Linked DNA regions of Kluyveromyces lactis. The protein of the gene in region 2 purifies or fractionates together with the protein of the main gene of each other region. This does not show direct contact. Links are inferred from orthologs where the notes say so. Each region holds a gene or a part of one and is shown on either strand. Other genes may lie near its edges.

The links.
Region 1: the proteins of MRPS9 (region 2) and EHD3 purify together in Saccharomyces cerevisiae (affinity purification with mass spectrometry; 4 studies listed by BioGRID). This does not show direct contact. The link is inferred for Kluyveromyces lactis from reciprocal best matches to the Saccharomyces cerevisiae genes MRPS9 and EHD3.
Region 3: the proteins of MRPS9 (region 2) and AIM23 purify together in Saccharomyces cerevisiae (affinity purification with mass spectrometry; 3 studies listed by BioGRID). This does not show direct contact. The link is inferred for Kluyveromyces lactis from reciprocal best matches to the Saccharomyces cerevisiae genes MRPS9 and AIM23.

What each region holds. Positions count from the first base shown.
Region 1 is NC_006042.1:1,715,391-1,719,068, reverse strand, and holds EHD3 (mitochondrial 37S ribosomal protein mS47), read right to left. Parts: upstream 2,180-3,678; coding exon 665-2,179; downstream 1-664. Other genes in the region: ubiquitin-specific protease UBP14, read right to left, coding at 1-331; KLLA0_F18656g (sphingolipid delta(4)-desaturase family protein), read left to right, coding at 3,327-3,678.
Region 2 is NC_006042.1:1,963,555-1,966,134, reverse strand, and holds MRPS9 (mitochondrial 37S ribosomal protein uS9m), read right to left. Parts: upstream 1,506-2,580; coding exon 612-1,505; downstream 1-611. Other genes in the region: MHF1 (Mhf1p), read left to right, coding at 195-512; KLLA0_F21010g (zinc-dependent alcohol dehydrogenase), read right to left, coding at 2,132-2,580. UniProt on the Saccharomyces cerevisiae protein: Component of the mitochondrial ribosome (mitoribosome), a dedicated translation machinery responsible for the synthesis of mitochondrial genome-encoded proteins, including at least some of the essential transmembrane subunits of the mitochondrial respiratory chain.
Region 3 is NC_006041.1:1,376,860-1,379,796, reverse strand, and holds AIM23 (Aim23p), read right to left. Parts: upstream 1,699-2,937; coding exon 655-1,698; downstream 1-654. Other genes in the region: KLLA0_E15401g (uncharacterized protein), read left to right, coding at 1-549; URA2 (bifunctional carbamoylphosphate synthetase/aspartate transcarbamylase), read right to left, coding at 2,370-2,937.

The DNA.
Region 1 (3,678 bases), about 250 kb from region 2:
TATCATATAGATCATCCTCATTCACATCCTTAACCTCAAGCTTTAATTTCTTTTCCAATGGTGGCGTGCCAGCTTCTTCTCGCTCTTGTTTTGGTTTTAGAACCTTGAATACTCTGAGATACAGATCATGGGTAGAACCAGTCTCACTCAAAACAACCTCTTGATGTAGTTCCCAATGCTCTTCGGAGAAAGACTGAAAGCAGCGTAGACAGATGAATAATGAATGTTCACGACCCTCATCTTTATTCTTCATCGTTTCAAAACAATAAACACAGTCATCTGTATCAATGACCCTGGGTACATTGATATCAAGGATATCAGAACCAGACATCTTTAATTTGAAGGCAGATATGATGCGTTGTGGAGCTTTGTTCTTATATATTGATGTTCTATTTCTTGCACACTCATTTTAAAGGATCAAACTCCAGTAATTTCAAATTTTAAACCATGCCGTAATTATGGAAAATATAACAAAGAATTAGGTAGATGAACGAGTTTTAAAGTAGAACGCATCAATTAGAGCTGTATTTAACTTATGGCACCCTTATGTACTGCCGAAGAACAATGCCATTCTAAGAGAGGATAATGAAATTTATTGCGTGTAGGTTAATCGTAAGTGTATTTACAAGTGTTCGATGTACTATATAATCGAAATGTATAGTTTTTATAGTTTAGCAGAGGAAGTTTTCCATCTTAAGAAACCATCTGGGTTTGGAACACATTTTCTGTCAATAATAAAACCTACCAAGTAGTCTACGCCGGTCTTACTCTTCGTGGCGGGGTTCAATTGTTGGAAGAATTTGACAGCTTCCTTCTTAGTAACTGCAGTTTGTCTTCCATGGTTGTCAGCACCTGTGATATATTTCTCAACTAGAGTTTCGTTTGGTAATTGGTACTTGCTATGATGTGGGTATTCAGAGAAAGTAACTAAATTTGATGGGCGGATCAACGACACCGGGTTTGAGGAGTTTTGTGAGATTAGAACTGATATTTGGGCTAATTTCAAATCTTTGATCTTCCATTGGTATGGGGTCTTGTTCTTTTCTAGCAATTTATGACTAGTGGCCTCAGCAAATTCACATAGGTCCGGAGATTCTGACATTTTAGTAGCAGTGATCAAATCTTGGGTCAAGGCGGTTTGAATGTCAGTGAAGGAGTTTCTTTGGAAAAGTTCTTTTGCGATTTCCAAAGAAACAGGGGATTTGCTAGCTAGCATTTGCTTGGTCTTTGCAGCAAACTCCTGAGCTGTTTGTGATACTGTCTTTCCAGCAATGACCTCATCCAATTTGGAGTAGATTTGCTTCAAACTGTTACCGATATCGAAACACTGTTCAATGACGTTTAGTTCATCAGCAGTGTACTTGAACTTGTAGTCTCTTGGTAATGGTGCGTTGAATTCCTCAATAGCATGGTTGACAACATCGAAAATTTCATCATCACGGTTAGTCGATTGAGAAGTGGCTTCAGTCAAATGTAACTCAGCCAATCTTGCCTGTAAGTTGGAGATCTGATCATGTGGCACATAATGAGAAGCGACACCAGCCACGTAAGCATCGGCACCATTCAAAATGTCACCAGTCATGCACAAGTACTGAGCCAATTGTCCGTTGGAACCACCAACAGTGGTAAGCTTTGGAATAGAGAAAGTGGCACCGACATCTGGGAAGAATCCAATATCCATCTCAGGCATGGCCCAACGAGTATTTTCAGTAGCAATACGGAATGGAATATGAGTAGATAGACCGACACCACCACCCATGGTGATACCGTCCATGATAGAGATGACCGGCTTGTTCAGCGTAGCTAGAGCCAAGTTTAACGAGTATTCCTTGGTGAAAAATTCTCTAGCGTAATCAAAATTTCCTTCCTTAACCAACTTGGCTACTTGAGCTACATCGCCACCTGAACAGAAGGCCCTAGGACTAGCTGAAGAGTTCAAGATAACAACATTGTTAACGGTACTCTTGGCATATTCTTGCAATGTGGGCAAGATGGCACTGCACATCTCAACATCCAATGCGTTCAATTTCTTTGGTCTATCCAAAGTGACCACTCTGGCAGTGGAATCGACTCTAAACTTAACTTCAGACATAAATCTTAATTGATTAACAGCCAATCTGGTCTTCAAAACGTGTCTCAATGACTGTTGCTGTGCTCTACAATAGGAATGCCTCAACATTATGGAATGCTATGGTAAAAATGGGTATAATAGATGATGTTGATAACCCGCCAGGATATTATAAGACGCTGTAGATCTCGGTATATATAGATATATTTGGTCAAAGATATCAACGTAAGTTAAGTATGCAGCAATTAAAGGGAGACTGCTACCATTCTTCTGTTCTCGTCAAGTTCGTTCCACTCAATGTTCAGGTTCAAATTTGTTTCAGCAGATGGAGAATAGTGAGTGACCAAAAAAAAAAAGCTACTACGATTGTTGAACAATTTCAGTACCTAATGGATTGAGCAATTCTCCAACTTGAAAGGGGATAATAAGACAAGATAGCCAAACTGCGAAGCAATTTAAGGTCGGTAGCAAAGGGGGTACAGAACTTATGTACGCGTATAATTGCATTCATCCGGGGTGGAAGCAAATCCTGTATAAGATTGAACCATAATCTTGCAGCGGTTTGTCACATCGTTTGACATTTGAAATGATTTAGAGTATGTCAGGATTGGATCGAAATATATCAGTTTTGCATATTTAATGGTTAAACAGATATTGGTGGGGCCCTTGGTACCACCAACCCTGTGTCTGATGTTAGAACAGGGCGTTCCCTCTCTGTGTCTTTGTTTCACGTGACCGTACTTTTTCCCATTTCCCTTAAAGCGTAATGAAAAATTTCTTTCTATCGCTCGAGAGCACACGGAACAGCAACATCTCATCGCATGGTTTTTGTTCGTTTAAAGATATATTGTAATTCCAATTACAGATTTCTTTCTAAGTATAAACCACATTTCTTAGCAGGCTTTGCTTGCGTTTAGGTTTGTGTATGTGTTTGAATTTATCACATCATAAGATCAGTTCTTTTTCGGGATTTAAGGATTTTAGATTTTAAATTTTAAAAGCTTAAGTTCTTTTAAATAGTCACGCATAAACATAGGATTTATACCTGATCCAACTGGTGTGGTTACATTGAGAATATCAGTATCAAACTCAATAATAAGATTCTAGGCAGGCTTGGAATCAAGGATCAAGAACTGTATTTTTGTCAAGCGTGTTTCCGGTTCCTGTTTTTTTATCGGCATTGTTTTACTTTCAAGTTTTGATATAGCATCGGAATCGCTATCTTAACAAGAAGAGAGCTTCATTAAGACCCTTAGACATGACAATTGTTCATAGAGATTTGAAAGTCTCTGAGAAATTTGTCGACGTTCCAAGTGCAGATGAGGATTTTAAAGTTCTTGATAACTTCTACTGGTCCGCACATAAAGAACCCCATGCTATAAGAAGACATGCCATAATTAAGAAACATCCAGAAGTGCAGCGACTTATGGGCCACGAACCTTTGACTAAATGGATTATCATTGGTGTTGTGTCGCTTCAGTTATCGCTTTCCTATTACTTAAGAAATACCCATCCTTTTACTTGGAAATTTTTCATCATTGCATATGTCATCGGTGCTACCGCTAACCAGAATATCTTCTTGGCAATCCATGAATTGTCTCACAACCTAG
Region 2 (2,580 bases):
TGCCTCTATTCTGGAAACTGTTGAAAACATGAATATAATTGATATGCATTGGGAATGCGGAGATATCCAAGATATGCAAGATATACAAGATTACAATCGATTGAGCAGTTCGTTTAGAGTTTTGAGCTGGCAATTCCTGACTTGGCATTGTCCTGTGGGCTCTATTCATGGTAGCGTCGTTCAGTTGATCAAATATGGATGAAGAGAAGAGATTACGATCCCAGTTACGCGGGAAGCTGTGGTTCTATGTGGAATCGATTATCAAAAGAGAACTACCAGAAGATGTAAAATACAATTCAAAATATGTCAACACTCTTACTGAACTGGTTTACCAGCAGATATGTGAGGTTGGTGGTGATTTGGAAGCTTTTGCCCAACATGCTAACAGAAATGTTGTTACGTCTGAAGATATGTTACTACGAACAAGGAAGAACAAGGATCTACAAGATTTTTTGAAACTACGACTAATGGAACTACGAGATGCTAACGTAGGACGACAGAGTAAAAGGTGAAAGGAGCTTGTTAAATTATGTAAAATTGCTATATATGTACAGGACTTGTGAAACAAGCATGTGTTTTTTTTAATGGAAAGGTCAGAGACTAATATCAGATCAACGCTTAACCCAGGTAGGCATCTTTCTTGCCTTTCTCTTACCAGGCTTCTTTCTTTCGACGTGTCTGTAATCTCTTGTCAAGACACCGGATCTATGCAATCTAGTTTTCAATAGTGGGTTGAAAGCAACCAATGCCTTACCGATTGCATGCATCAAGGCATCGGCTTGCCCCGTAATACCACCTCCGGAAACCATTGCAAAGACGTTATATTTGCCAACACTGTCAATGGCTTTTAATGGATACATTACGGATTCTCTGTCCTTCATTTTAACGAAGTAATCGTTTAATTGACGGTCGTTAACTAAGATCTTACCTTCACCACGAACCACATATACCTTGGCAGTAGAGGTCTTTCTTCTTCCGATGGCCAAACTTCTACCAAACTCGTCTAATTGCTTCAAAGTATCTCTTTGAGGTTGCAACTTCGTCTTCTTATGGTATTTCGCTAAAGTGTTCGAAATCTCATCGGTAACCAACTGTGGATCAATAGAATTCAAACGGTTCAACATGAACAAAAGCTGCTTATACTGGGTAGATTTCAAACGGGACCCACCACCTATTAGAGCGTACTCTTGCAAACTCAACCAGGAAGGCCTTTCTTCCACTTGGACGGTAGGATATTTGATATATTTCCTCAACAACGCTTCTAAGTTATCGATATGAGCTTCGTGATGTGGGTTGGCGGAGTAAAAAGTAGACAACTTAGGCACAATTCTAGTCCCTGTGTAACCATATTCTGCACCAGCACGGGCGCCATCATTGTACTGCCTTGAACCAGAACCGGTCCTCTCAGACCCCGAGCTGTTAAACAATGGCCTGGCATAAGAGAATAGTCTTTTCTGTACCGTAAGACCCTGTCTCAAAGAGACACCAGTTAAACGTGAGAACATTTTTCTGATCTTTGGTTTTAGTCTCCCCTTCTATCCCTGTGGAAACTGCTCACGAAAGACCTCAGGCGACTAAGATAAAGACTGCTCAGCTTAATTTATGTCTGTCTCTATCTCTATCTCTACCTCTGGTTGAGCTTTCCAAATTTTTCACTTTCTCAGTTTTTCAATCTAGAAATGCAGATCCGTGTCTGGCTCGCTCCCAGTGACAATGTATACAGAGTTAGACATGGAACTTCAACTCGTACAGTGTGATGGTCGAAGCGAACATTGTCGATGTACTTAAGAGGTCAGCTAGTTGGAACGTACCAGTTGTTTTAGGGGTCAGATGTATTCACCTTAAGGGTGATGGTCGCAATGTGTACTGTAATGGTATAATGGTGTTATTAGTTCCCTTTTTTTTGGGTGGTAAGAATTATTATAAAAGAGCTAAAGAATTAAAGTATTATATCGTGTCTCATTTTGAAGGTCTATAAAATGATTTATTATAAAGTTGGATTGATCTAGTAGCACTACACCAGGCGGAATAAGTGGGAAGTAATGATCAGATATGTTTTATATAAACGGAGAGAGGAGGGAAACATATAAAAGGTGAAAAAAGTCATGACTTGAATGCGGAAGAGATTTCATTATTTTGAAGTGTCGACGACGTATCTACCGACGATAGCACCCTTTTCCATCTTTTCGTAGATGGATGGTAGTTCGGACAAACCAACGACGTGGATTGGAGCCTTGACTAGACCTCTGGAGAAGAAGTCAATGGCTTCTCTGGTGTCAGCTCTGTTACCGACGTAAGAACCGACAATGGAGATGGACTTCACAACTTGGTTAAAGACATCGGACTTACACTTGGCGTCTCTTGGTAGACCGACCAATACGACGGTACCGTTAGATCTGACGTAGTTGGTAGATTGTTCGATAGCGAATTCGGAGACAGAGACGTTGATGACACCGTGAGCACCACCCTTGGTAGCTTCGATGACTTCTTCTGGGATGTTCTTGGACTTGGTGAAATCAATGAAGTATTCACCACCCAAGTCCTTGAACAACTTAGCCTTTTCTTCACCAGCATCGATAC
Region 3 (2,937 bases), on a different chromosome or scaffold from region 2:
GTCCCATGGAAATGGGGGGATATTATAGCATCCTCTGAACATGGATTCTTTGGTGCAGAAATGCACGTATGGACTCATGATCAAGTAGATTATATTGCAATATCACAGTTGCTCTTCAATAAGGTCTACATATTCAAAGATGCTGGCAACTCTGCACTAGAGGTCTGGTTAATATTGGAACTTGACACATTAGTTGACCTTAACACTGTCAAGTCCTCTATTGAGTTTGGTAAGGGTGTTCACTTCTCACACTCCCGGAAAAGGCTATTTCTTTCTTCTCCGGGCAGTTTTAATGGCGCTGGTGCTATCTGGAGTGTCTCTATGTCAGAAATGAAGAGAACAGTTGAACTTTGGAGATCCAAACATTTGCTCATAACCGCTTTAAAACACCTTGAATTCGTTAACCCCGAGCAAAAGAAAAAGGGTTGGTCTAATTTCGGCTCCAATTTGGCTGAGTCCCCATTAGATGACTTATTAGTTTCCATTCCACAATTTGGCTACGGTGACTTACATGACCTTTCGCTAATCGGAGCATTATTGATTCATTAGAATACATCACAATTACGTGAAATTTTTCGATATATGTACGCTAATTATCAATATTTACAAGATACATATGCCATTATAACGTCTATCGTCCGAGATATTTCCTGGTTATTCGGTGGAATCGCTGGTTTTTTTCTTCTCAATTCTGCGTTGCAGCTTTTCCTGCCTTTCCCGTTTCCGTTGCTCCTTGAGAGCTTTTTTATCAACTCCATTATTAGTATTTACAAGATTTGGAGTTACTTTCATAATTATTCTTTGATTGATCAAACCTTCTTGTGTAATCTGTGATGAATATTCGCTGATTATTTCGTTTAGCTTCTCCAAAACCTCTTCCCTTCTTTTCATTTCCTTTTTAGAAATAGAAGATTCCTGCATCGCTTCTAATTCCTCCTCATCTATAGGTGACAAGTTAGAAGAGTCTTTATCATTAATGAAAAGAGCAATCTTGCTACCTTTTTCCAAATTAGAAACAATTTCACTACATTTCTGTTTTTTCAAATCATAATCCGATATTTGCCATGAAACCTTGATTGATTTCCAAGATGAATCCGCTTTCGAGTCTGGAGAGCGACGGCCAGTTTTCTTTATATTGACACCCAATTTTATAAGTTCTTCTTCTTTAATTTTAGATAGTTTGTCGGAATAATTCTTTAATGCCTGTCTTGTTGGCACTTCTTTGACAATGGGTAGACGAACATCTCCGGACGCAGCATTATCGATACTCACCATAGCTATCCCATTTATCTCAAGGTTAACGCCCTTCAAAAAGTTCCTAATATTGGCTTCTTCTAGCTTGCTAGTTTCTGGATTGATTGCCTTGATGTTACCCTTTGAATTTATTGCTAGTATTTCCTCTAGCACCGAGTTGGCAGCTGCCTGCTGTTTCTCTGTTCCACTATTCCATCTGAAAACAAGTTTTTTATTCCGTTGATCTTTATTACCGTTTCTATGGCGGTGTTTATCACGATTTTTATGTGGAGAATTGTTACCGCTCTTTCGATGTGTCGCTGGATTGTATGTTGGTAGGTTAAAAAGAAGATCCGATACAGCCCTTGATTCGTTCTGGAGAACCCGATTATTGCAAAATAAACGTATTGAAGAAATGCTGTATTTAAAAGTAGTTCTGAGCATCTGTATATAGTGGTACTTCATTTATTTCAGCCCAACGTACCACATTTCAAGGCAATTCTATCATCGGAGATGACTTGAACTTAATCAAATCAAAAAAATACAACTGTCTTTCATATTAAGATTTTGAGATATTCTGACAGAGAAGGGAAAGCGTTGATATCTGTCACGTGATCATTTTTACTAATATGTTGCTGGTTTTGCCTAGAGACTGACAGCTGAATAGGTTCAAACAAAAGAGAACAATAGAATGAAAATAAAGTCGATGCGAAATATTAATGTATTAAACGATGCAGATGTGAATGTAAGGATAAACCTTTGAACTATATATGTACGACAAAATGATATATATGTCAAAATATACTAATTGTATCTGAAATTTTGAGCATTTCAAAGAATAGAAAGTGCAATAGATAAAAGTCACTTTGTAATTTTAAGGAAGTTATTTTCCTACTATGAAAGTCCTTGTATTACTATGGTACAGATGAAGGTAGTTTAGTCATATTTCATCAGTTTTCTTCCTCCGATTAAATATCTCTTTTCAAGTCCCCACAAAAAAAGAGTTTTCTTAGTTTAAGGAATTCCTTCTGATGAATTTAAAGTAAAATGAACGATTTACTTCCATGTTTAAATTATTTTGTTTGATTTTGGATTGATTCTGAAAAAAGTTCCGAACGCGAATCTGTTTAGCTCCTTTATAATTCAACACCCATAACCATGGCTAACAATGCCATTCTGACAAACAAACCATATCTCATTTGTCTGAAGTAAGCTGCACGATGATCGTAGTCAACCTCTTCACGAATCTCATTAACACGAGGTAGTGGGTGCATGACCACCATCTGTTGTTTAGCATGAGACAAGATCTTATTGTCAACAATGTAAGTGTCCTTGAGCTTCAAGTAATCTTCCTCGGTTTCGAACCTTTCTTGTTGCACTCTTGTACAGTACAACACATCGGATTTGGAAATGATTTCAGGTGTTAGTGTTTCACTTTCAATACCTAATAAGCCAGAATCTTGCAATTCTTTACGCAAGGCATTAGGCAACCTCAATTCCTTAGGAGCGATCAAGTTAATTCTAACTTGGTAATGTTGTAGCAAACGACACAAGGAGTGAACTGGTCTACCGAACTTCAAGTCACCCATAAAGGTAACAGTGATACCGTTGACAGTACCCAATTCTTCACGAATAGTGAATAGATCCAAGAAGGCTTGAGTTGGATGTTCACGAGAACCGTTACCACCGTTGATGATAGGAACA